Linked DNA regions of Saccharomyces cerevisiae S288C. The gene in region 2 interacts genetically with the main gene of each other region. Each region holds a gene or a part of one and is shown on either strand. Other genes may lie near its edges.

The links.
Region 1: mutations in ARN1 (region 2) and PDH1 together harm fitness more than expected from each alone (negative genetic interaction), as found in Saccharomyces cerevisiae (2 studies listed by BioGRID).
Region 3: mutations in ARN1 (region 2) and DFP3 together harm fitness more than expected from each alone (negative genetic interaction), as found in Saccharomyces cerevisiae (2 studies listed by BioGRID).

What each region holds. Positions count from the first base shown.
Region 1 is NC_001148.4:556,326-560,532, reverse strand, and holds PDH1 (putative 2-methylcitrate dehydratase), read right to left. Parts: upstream 2,149-4,207; coding exon 598-2,148; downstream 1-597. Other genes in the region: citrate (Si)-synthase CIT3, read right to left, coding at 2,696-4,156. UniProt on the Saccharomyces cerevisiae protein: Catalyzes the stereospecific dehydration of (2S,3S)-2-methylcitrate (2-MC) to yield the cis isomer of 2-methyl-aconitate.
Region 2 is NC_001140.6:18,528-22,707, forward strand, and holds ARN1 (siderophore transporter), read right to left. Parts: upstream 2,445-4,180; coding exon 561-2,444; downstream 1-560. Other genes in the region: EFM1 (protein-lysine N-methyltransferase), read left to right, coding at 3,256-4,180. UniProt on the Saccharomyces cerevisiae protein: Involved in the transport of siderophore ferrichrome and so has a role in iron homeostasis.
Region 3 is NC_001135.5:125,453-128,741, forward strand, and holds DFP3 (DUP240 family protein), read right to left. Parts: upstream 1,279-3,289; coding exon 559-1,278; downstream 1-558. Other genes in the region: serine/threonine protein kinase SAT4, read left to right, coding at 3,018-3,289.

The DNA.
Region 1 (4,207 bases), on a different chromosome or scaffold from region 2:
ATTGATAATATAACTATTAGTTGATAGACGATAGTGGATTTTTATTCCAACAGATATATTAGTAATATGAACACTACTAAATGGATGATATTTTAGAATTTTTATTCCAACACTTACAATAATACTAGCCCAAAGATGATAACTGACTCTGATTCCAACACTGTGGATTGAGTTGATAACACCCATTTATCAACTAATCCTGTATTGAGTTTTTAGCTAAGGTGGTTAGAGCATAGAAATTGAGCGGATTTAGCTCAGTTGGGAGAGCGCCAGACTGAAGAAAAAACTTCGGTCAAGTTATCTGGAGGTCCTGTGTTCGATCCACAGAATTCGCATTTCTATTTTTGTATTTTTCCATGAATTGACGAACTCTTGCAAGTTGAAGAAAGAAAAATAAATAGAGCCAATTATTTAATTTTTTAATAGTTATTATTATGTAGATAAATACCAGTAAAATTAAGCCAGCATAATTAGAAAACCGCATGTTCTTTGGTTTAATTATGTTTTGAAAGTGATTTCTTGTTTATCGAAACGGCGCCTTTTGTCTTTAAAAATTGAAGTAGGTACCATGCCGTTCGCTCTTAAAGAGCCAACCATTCATCCCTCAGTAAACAAATCCATGTATTTGTCGATTTGCATATTCAAAAAGTTTGTTTTTGAACTTACCTTCATTATAAGGTCGACTTTATCAGGGCTCTCTACAAAATGTTCGCGCAGATGCCTTTGAAATTTATTCATTAGTAATGGTATTCCTTCCTCTCGTCTAAATTTGTGACCAACAGGGTACTCTACAAAAATTTCATCCAACTGCGTCCCATCGTTCAGCTCTATGAGAAGAGCGTTTCCTATCGACCTTTTATCAGGATCGTGATAGTTTTGAGTGAGATGAGTATCTTCGATACAGTACATTTTCGATCTCAAGTTATCGATCTCAGGATTTCTTGCGACCTCATCCGAATAATCAGTAGCTGTGAGATTACCAGTAATCAGCGGAACCGCGATCATGTACTGGATACAATGATCCCTATCGGCATAATTATACAGAGGACCGGATTTATCTATAATCCTCATTGCCGCCTCTTGAGTTCTAATTCTGATCGATTTAATATCTTTAAAAGTTTTCCCTTGTTTGGCAAGAATCCTATATGCTTTTACAGCAGCTTCTACAGCAGTTTGCGCATGGAATTCGGCAGGAAATGATATCTTGAACAGAACGTTTTCCATGACGTAGGAATCATATTTTGATCTTTGTTGGAATGAAAAAGGTTTACCCTTAAATAAAACGTCATAAAATCCCCAGGTTCTAGCTGTTAATACTGAAGGTATCGTGCCAACATTAGCATTTTTGACTAAATAAGCCAAGTTTACAGCCCTCGAAACTGCATCTCCCGCCGCCCACGACTTTCTAGATCCAGTATTTGGGGCATGACGGTAAGTACGCAGTGATTGACCGTCTACAAATGCTTGTGACAATGCTTCAATAGTTTGTTCCTGGCTCAGGCCCAGCATCTTCGAGACAACACCAGCCGTTGCTACTTTCACGAGTACCACATGATCTAAACCTACTTTATTGAAAGAATTTTCGAGCGCTATAATACCTTGGATTTCATGCGCTTTAATCATTGCCTCTAATACGTCTTTAACAAGAAACTGTTTTCCATTCTTTCCGTGGGTAGCCTTGTTTAATCTGGACAAGTGATCCGCGACAGCTAAAATTCCCCCAAGGTTATCTGATGGGTGCCCCCACTCGGCAGCTAACCAGCAGTCATTGTAATCTAACCAACGTATTAGAGTACCAATGGCAAAAGCTCCCTTCACTGGATCCATAACGTAAGATGTGCCCAATATTTTTGTTCCACTGGGAACTATTGTTCCTGGCACAATTGGTTTAATAATATTTTGAGCCTGCTTAAATTTCAAAGCCGCCAAGCCACAGCCTAGAGTATCAAGGAAACAGAGTCGTGCTGTATCTAGAGCCAAAGATGATTTTAATGGGGTTTCATGGACATATTTCGCGATGTCCTTCAAAACCTTATCTGGATTTGGTCTTTCATTAGTTTGTATAGACGCTGTACTCAGCGCAGCAAATTTCTTTTTAGGCAAGCATACCTTGATTTTATTATTTTTTAGATTTTTGGCTAAAAACATTCTGTTTGCTCTCGATCATCAGAGAACAGTAGAAAATACCAAAATACTATTTGAGAAAGTCCTAATAAGTTATACATACATTATGGCAGATTTATATACCTTATACACTTTCTTTGGTCATGCTTTCACATTAGTGAAGGTAAACATATGAGGGTAAAAGTTGAATGACTAGAATGTGGAGAAATAAGGTCATCTCAATAAAGTTTGTAAACGGCCCGAGGTCCGACATCGGGGAAGTGGCTACCTATAGACAGCATCATATATCAGAGAGATTGGGGACGAAAAGCGCGATGTGGTAAAAAAATAAGTCAAAACTCCAGAAATAATACAATCAGAGAAAAAAAAAAAAAATAAGAATATATTTTACTAACGAGATTGGAATTGCTGAATAATTTTTTGATAGGTGTGTTAACCGACCATATTTTCCCCTATATGTTTTCATGATGAATATGTATAAATTAGCTATGATTAGACATGCTGTATGGAATTTTATTTATATTTCAATATTGTAATAGCAAACGAAGCATTCTTGTAAATTGGAACTGCGTTACAACTTGTTAACATTGCTTGCTTTGGTAAGTGCTTCCAGACCCTCCAAGTTCAAACTCTTGGGCCTTTCAATTGGTAAACCTAGAATGCGATCCCAAACAAGTTGTGTCAAGGGTCCCATGGCCCTTGAACACCCAAAAATGACGGTAAAGAATAATAATTCCCTGATTCCATAATGATAAAACAAAATCCCCGATGCAGAGTCAACATTGGGAAATGGATTCTTACTCTTTCCGTGTTCCAACAAAACCTTAGGCGCTATTTCTGCCAATTTTTGCATCAACAAAACGTTCTTGTCGTTCTCAAATTCAATAGGCCTCTTTTGCGCAAATTCAAGCATTGCTGTAAATCGAGGATCCGGTTTACGCAAAACTGCGTGCCCATAACCGGGGATCACACGGTTTGAATTCAAAATTTTCCAAAGATAATCTTTGATTTCTTGTTCTCGTGCAATGCTGGAAATATTAGAGTTCATCTCTATGAGAAACCTTACTACTTCTTGTGCTGCTAACCCATGCAAAGGACCCGCTAATCCCATTATTCCAGATGAATAGCTGAGATACGGGTCACTCAACGCACTTCCAACCAAGTGGGTGGTGTGAGCAGAAACATTACCACCTTCATGGTCTACATGTATACCGGTATATAACCGCATCAAGTTTATGAAGTCCAGGGATTGCTGGGAAGTAAGGTTGCATGTATTAGAAGAGTTCGTTCCATTTGTCATGCCGAGCAGGGAACATATGTTTGTACACCAATCCACCTCCTCACTATATTGACCTAATGGGTGTCCCTCATTTGTAATGTTCGAATAAATTCTCCCAGTCAGCAGCGGGAGTGAAGCAATTAAATTTAGCGAATCTTCAAGAGTATCTTTCCAAAATTCCATCTTTCCTATGAGGCCCTTTTGGTAGTTTGTAGCAAAGAGGGATCCTTTGTTCATTGATGCTAAACCAATTGCAAGTTGGGTCATAGGGTGCATATCTTTGGGTAAACTTGACAAAACTTTCTCTGTATAATGTGGCAATTTCCTTCCACGAATAGCCAATTCTTTCCTGAAAGAAGCAGCTTGCTGGAAAGTTGGCACACCACCTGTCATCAACAGCCATAACATTGATTCTGGCAGGAAATTATCGCCATCAATACCTGTATTAGGTAATCTATTTTGACATTCTTCAATCGTTAAACCTTGAAATTTAATGCCATGTTCGGGATCTAATGATGTTCCTTGCCAAAACATTGACTGATTACCTCTCATCCCACCTAGAACTGATGAAATGGTAATCGGTCCGACAAACGTGCTGCCATAACAGGCCTTCAATTTCTTCACAGCATCTCTTTTCTTAGGTATCACGTTTTCTAATGCTTCCTTGAGAGTCAATGCAGAAGACTTTATAATTGCAGACGAATTGAAGGACCTTCTGCATATATGTGCGCCCGGTAGAAGCCTTTGTACCATTTTGTATTCAATTATTTAGCGGCGTCTATGTATAAATTCTTGATCAAATAC
Region 2 (4,180 bases):
CAAGTAAATCATACTATCTCTTTACAAGCTGAATGGAATGGGGCTTAGCCGACTGGAAGGATAGGCTTGCCAAGGAAAAACAAAGAAAAAAAGGCGAGTGGATTTAAGATTCAGCGACCGCCTGTCTTCCCTTCCTTTTTCACCATAGTTGACATAACACTTTATCTTGTCTTTATATCTCTTCTCGAAGCACTTATGATAACCGACTTCAAAGTCAAGGTACATAATTATTCAACGCCTCTAATTTTTCACTTGTTATGAAGCAAGTGCTGAGACAACTGGCCAATCGATGTTATAAACAGGCAGAACAAAAGAAGTAAAGATATTACTCTGTTACGTAATATTAAGTAGTGCCGCACTATACATGTAGATATGCATATACTGTTATGGTAAAAGGAATATGCAAAGAACTAGACATTTCTGATCTTTTCTTTTCTTGGTTATGATCATTAGAATGGTAGAGTCTTGTAGAGAGGAAAAAGTAGGAGGTGACACCGTATATTTTGGGCAATATAGTCATGGAAAGTGATATCAAGCAATCATGCAACGTAAACATCAACTTATTCCCGTTTAAAAGTGAATTTTGATGGAAGTTTTTCAAACCAATCCAAAATTGGATCATTGTCTTTCGTGTCGACATATTCGCCATCCTCGATGTATTCCACAGCAACAGTATCAGTCAATTTAGGATCCCTTAGACATAAGGAGAATGCAATTAATGGAACACAAAATACTAAAGCCACGATAGTTTCCAATCTTTGAACGTATTTGTAAGCGTTCATTAAGGCATTCCTTTGTGGGGTACCCCAAGTATAGGTTTCAATGAAAGTATATGGAGATTCGTAGGCAGTTGTGGCTAGAGCAACATCACCCATTCTCTTCAAAATTTGTTTGTACAAAGTCTGAGTCCAAATGGCACCGGAAACTGCGGAACCGACAGCAGAACCAATTCTATAGAGGGTATAGTTTAAAGCTGTAACTGTCGCCATGTTTTCATGAGAGACGGCAGATTGTACAGAGACGGTAACTGGGTAAGTGAACAAAGTAGTGCCCACACCCCAGACACATAATGCACCAATAATACCTGAATGGGACTGACTTCCACCTCTAAAGTGGTACAATAAACCCATAGCCACCATCCATAGCGCGCATCCAAACATTATGAATGGTTTCAATCTCGTACATCTTGTTACAAGTAAAGCGAAAAATGGAGAGGCCACAGTAGAGACAAATGAAGATAATGTGGCAATTCTGGTTGCAGATTTAACGGATTCATTGACGGCAACAATCATAACCGTGTACAAATAATCAGCGGCCATATAGTAAATAAAATCAATCAGGAAAGAAATACCCATAGAAGACCATACAGCCCTATCTTTGACCAGCCTATATGGAAGAATTGGATCTCTAGCGAATCGATATTCCCAAATCCATAAGATAGGGATCAAAACAAAGCCAAGAACAAAGGGGCCGATCAATCTTGAATCATTCCAGGTAGTTTTGACCCCACCAGCCAAGGTCAGTGGGACCAAGATACAACCTAGGGAACAACCCATCAAAAGGACACCAACGACATCTAACATCCAAAATAATTGCTTTAAGATCTTAATAAAACCATGTTCTTGATAATAGGACTTCTGGCCCTTCAAAGCGTGCCATTCAGGAGTCTTTCTGGCCCTCCATTGCATGTGCAACATACACAAAACGATTGGAACACATGATAGGGGAAAGATGAAAGCCCACATACCTACATCCCAAGACCAGTTGACAACAGGATTGGCTCTGGAAGTGATATTACCAGCAATCCATGTGTTGATGATAAAAGGCCAAGTCGGGACAAATTGATACAGCAGTCTCCACTTTAAAGATGAAAAATCGGATAGGATAATCAAAAGAATAAGGATTACACCCACATAGCCAGCATTGTAGAAAATGGCACCTGCAGCGTATCTTTGAACATCATAAGCTTGTGATTGAATAATTGTACCCACAACATATAGGATGACAGCACTAATGAAAAGGTATAGTCTACCAAACACATCAGACAACCTAGCGTATATGATTTGCGAAGCGGCACTGACCACAGCATTAATGACGTTGATTGTAGACAGCAGAGAATGCTCACTATAGGATGATGTGGCGTAACCAGTGTAAATATAACGGATGTTACCGTCCAGTCCATAACCGTAGCCACATATGAAAGCACTCAAAAGTAAAATCGCTTGTAAGTACCATTTATTGTAAGCAGAGCCAATGATTTCAGTCTGCTGGATAATTAGGCTCCTGTTCTGTCTCAAGGCATTGTATTTTTCAGATAACTGAGGGAGACCATATGAGTCGGAGTTGGAATCGTTATGAGTCTCAGGATTCAACTCGTGTTCCATTCCCATGAAGACATGTTTCTTTTCCTCCTTAACAGGATCGCGAGAGTGAACAGACTCCATTAGTACGTTGCTATGCAGTGGCTTGAACTACTGTCCATATATTTTTAAGAAAGAAAACAAGAGATATAGTGAACGAAAGCAAAAAGAGAGCTATCGAATGTTTCCTCCCCTATATACAATTATTCCTGAAATCTTCAGTTCTATGCATCTTGCATTACTTCATGTAAACTGTACTCCGATTTGCTTGGCCTTTTTTTCTCTTTGACACTATTTTCCTAACGATATGTGCTTGTTATATCACACCTGCTTTTATGGGTGCATTTTGATAAATTTGCAATCCCAAACAGGAAAGAAGTGAAAAAGGCCAAGACATATGTGGCTTTCTAACAAATACAGGCACACAAATTTCGTAAGAGAACAAGTCCTAAAGATGAACGTTAATGATAATATACAATTGTCTTCTCATTTCTGTTGATGGATTTTCATTCGCAGGTGTATTTTTCCATCGCTTCGTGATAGAGCTGCCAGTACGCTTCATCGCGGTCGCTTACATGCGTGATATTTAGGGGATCTTTCATTGGCTTCCGATCAGATAATATGTATCATTAGTCAGCGGAAGTTACAGGTGGAAACCCTCCCCACCTTGATAGTTGTCTTGATTGTATAGGCCTGTAATCTATTACTATTATTCTATTGGAGTCCTGCTCGTTGTTCGTTCAAGGCGAATGTGCCTGCGATGAGTTGACTATGAAAAAGAAAATTTTTCAACTTGAACTTGACCATTCCAACAAAGAAGAAATGATGGAAGTAAAAAAGACTAAGGAATCAAGCTTGGTGAAGCTACCTCGTCATTTAATTAACGAACTTCTGCATGATCACCCAAACTGAGCTAGATAACTGCTTACAATGGGCTCAAAATAATGGAGCCTTCATCGATCCGAAAATCTCTTTTAGGATTACAGAGGATGCTGGTGTTAGTGCATTTGTAAACGAAAAATTCTCTCCCAAACCCGACCAAGCTTTGATTAGGGTACCCGAAACTCTGCTGATCACTTCCCAGCAAGCTTTATCAGAATTTTCCCAGGCTGCTAATGAAAGGAGTCTTTTGAATTCCGTGACACAGTTGTACTTGTCAAAGTTGAAATTTGGCACCGATGCAGTTCACCTGAAATCCTTTTACAAACCATATTTAGATGTGCTACCCTTGCACCTTCCACAACCATATTTTTGGTCTACTGATGAAGTCATGAATTTGCATGGTACAGACGTGTACTTAACTATGAGAGATACGCTGAACAAACTAGTAAAGGAGTGGAGGATGCTGTTCCAAGCTTTATCTATTGAACACTCTTCTCAAGATAAGCAGTTCTTGTCTTTATTCCAGGAGAATAAAGACTCTGCCGTAGTGCCGTTGGAACAGTTCTGCGCACACATCAATGGATGTAAACTAGAAGATTCGGAATGGAACTCGTTCGTGGCGTATCTTTGGTCGTACTGCATCTTTAATTCTAGGGCATTTCCTCGTGTCATTTTAGGCAGGGCCGGTACAGACCGCACCAATCTGAACGAAGGATTTTTGTATCCAATAGTAGATTTATTAAACCATAAAAACGATGTACCAGTAAGATGGGAGATGAATGAACAAAATGAACTTTGTTTCATGTCGCAGACTACCACATTTAGTGCACAGGATGAATTGTTTAATAATTATGGTAATATTTCTAATGAAAAATGTTTGTTAAACTACGGGTTTTGGGATTCCTCGAATAAGTTTGACTTCTCTAGGTTGACTTTAA
Region 3 (3,289 bases), on a different chromosome or scaffold from region 2:
CATTCGAGAAAGAAACTAGGTAGCTACAAAAGTATGGAAAAAAGGGTAATAAGCATTCCTTTTTTTTTAGCCGCAAAGCCTGCTTAACCATACATGAAGCACTTTAACATATAGATGCTGCTCTTCACTGTTACATTATATACAGAAAAAAGTGCTCGCAATAAGAAACAAACCTTCAGAAAAAGAAGCTTATCTTGAGCACAAGTCATTCACAGCAAAATTTCTTTTTTCAGTTGCTACATGTTAATTATGGAGTCCTGAGAGTAAGTAACTAGCCATTAGAATTAATTTCCTTCCCTTAAAAATGATAGGGAATGCACGACAATACGTTAATGTGCACCCAACTTGCACCACAGCATATTCTATCCTTTAGTTTGTACAATATTATTAGCTGTGAGAAAGCCCCTTCGTGTGGCACAAATTTATTAATCTCTGTCAAAATACTTCTACTTGTTTATACTGTATAAACGATTAAGTTCCATTATGAATTGTGAATTTAGAATCGGTTTGGTACATCGCTCAGTATAAGTGCTAAATAAAATTATCAAGATTTATATTTCATGGTATATCGGCGTCAGGATATTGCTTTCTCCAATATTCCTGTTGTGCTTGTTTCTCAACTTCTACTGCTTTAACAAAGTATGCTTCGAATATTGGGTCAGAACTGAAACTAAAGCATTTTATTACCTCATTTGAAGCCTCATTTGCTGGTGCATCTATCTGCGTACTTGTGGCGTCCTTTACCGATGAATTTACATTCACACCTGGGGGTTTTTCTTTCACAAGAAATCTGAAGAATTTGTAGCATCTTTCACTACTATAAAAGTAATAGCGAGTACTCCATAAACCATTATCAAGTAAATATTGATTCATATTGTCTGTGATTGCTCTCCATTCTTTTCCCTTTACCGCTGGCCTGTGGGTGATAACTTCCAGCAAAAGCTTAATTCTGAAACCCTCATCCGAGATATACACATTAAACGGAATCAACGTAGACAAAAACAAAATAGAAGTGACGAAAATTGAAAAACCAAAAACGACATCACAAGCTTTAACATTATGAAAGATCACAACTATTAAAATTGAAACTGAAAGTGCCAAGAAGGAAAATATCATCGGTTTGTAATGAGCCATCTCGTACAGCAAGTAGGTCATATATGATTTAAAGGTGTCTTCAGGTAAAGTGATATTTTCTGCGGATGATAACACATTTTGTTCCCCTAATGTATCCAATTTGACATCGTCATTATTACTGTTGTTGTCTAAATGAGGCTGCATGCAGATACGGAGTTTTGTTTCTTGTCTTGATATGGTATAGACAACCGACTGGTGTATATAAACAGAACACAGACTTACATTTTCAGGTTCGAAGTTTTATTGAAGTTCATAAACTCTTTTTAAATTATTTTGTAAACTTGAGCTATTCAAGCAGTATTCTTATTTAACCTAAGCATAGCCCCGGATACAAGGCGTATAATACCCAACTAACTTAAAATGAGAGCCACTTACTGAACACCTTGGAAGGTCATTGTTTGGTTGAAAGGAATATTATTAACTAAGCCTTAGAACAAGGCGTCACCTAAATGATAATGGCTTTTCTTCTGGGCGCGGTCGGGGCTTCGACTCATTTGATACTAGGTTAATTACCCTTTTACGCATACCTAAATATTTGTAACTTTAGATCTGTCCACTAAAAGCGTTTCGATGACTTAGTTGTGCTACTAATAGTAAACTCTTTGTGCAGGCAAATTATATCATCGCTGGCTAGACTTTTTGTCAAAAGTTCTGTTTATACAGTGGGCAGCTAGAGTGCTTAATAACAAAGATATTGTCCTTTAGACTTACACAAGAGCAGAAGCAAAGATAAGCACTGTTTGTTCTGCTTCCATCGTTTTTGCTGAAAATTTTGCATGCATATCCAACCAATATTTAACACCTGGATTATCTCGGTTCAAAGACTACAATAAACGCCCCAATAATTGTGATGCTTTTTTCAATCCAGCCCGCACAAATGAATACCGCTGCTATTGGATGCCATCTTCAGATGTACGTCCAAACTGTGGTTGGTATAGTTTTTAGAACCTCGTGGTGAGGAGTGTTCCATTCTTTCAAAGGCAATGAGAAAAAAAAACAGTTGCGATATTAGTCAACTGTTTTGCATGGTTTCTTTGACGCAGTTGTAAAATCATACTCGAAGGGTAGTTGGAAAATTTTCAACATATATTAGTAATACTTTTTCTGTAAAAGTGACACAAGATAAAATGACTCCATGGCCAAGTTGGTTAAGGCGTGCGACTGTTAATCGCAAGATCGTGAGTTCAACCCTCACTGGGGTCGTTAATTTTTCTTTTCTTTTTTTTTTTTTATCTCCGACGGAGAAAAAATTTTTTCTCAACCCCCGGCATGGCGAATGGAAAAATCACCTGGCACGTCATTTCATCAAATCAACATCGGCCTCCCCGTGCTAATATGTTAACAGGCCGAGCTCTTGCCATCTCACGCATTTTCCGCTATACAAATAGTATATATAATATTACAGCTTTTAAAGAGGGAAGAGGAAACGGAGAAGAAAATATACTACTTTATAGAGATATTCGGCAATTTTTTTTAGCAAAAGTTTATTAAACCCTAATATAGACCTTTACTTGGAGTTTCGATTTTAAGAATTTTTTATCATTTTTTTTTTTTGACGATTTCCTGTCGGTTTCGTTATAACCTGTTGTGTTGTTGTTGTTGTTGTTATTGCTGGGTTGTTGTTATTCACTTTAACATTATCGAATAAAATTTGGACTTTCAAAGTCCTGTTCAATAAGTTGTACTAAGCCTTTAAGCGTTTTTAAGTTACAAATAAAAACTGGAAAGCTTAAGGTAGCTTTCTAATATTAGGCTCTCAACCTTTTTTTACTCTCCATTTACCGCTAGATATTAACTAGTAGTAAGTATTGTGACTACTATTCCCTGTAATCAAAAAAAAAGTAATCAGATTTTATTTTATTTCGACATTACCCCTCAAATATATGACTGGTATGAATGATAATAATGCCGCTATTCCTCAGCAAACTCCAAGGAAACATGCGCTATCTTCTAAAGTTATGCAACTTTTTAGAAGCGGTTCAAGATCATCTAGGCAGGGAAAGGCCTCATCGAATATCCAGCCACCTTCTAATATAAACACAAACGTTCCATCGGCGTCTAAATCAGCCAAATTTGGTTTACATACCCCAACCACTGCTACTCCTAGGGTAGTTTCTAATCCTTCTAATACTGCAGGTGTGAGTAAACCGGGCAT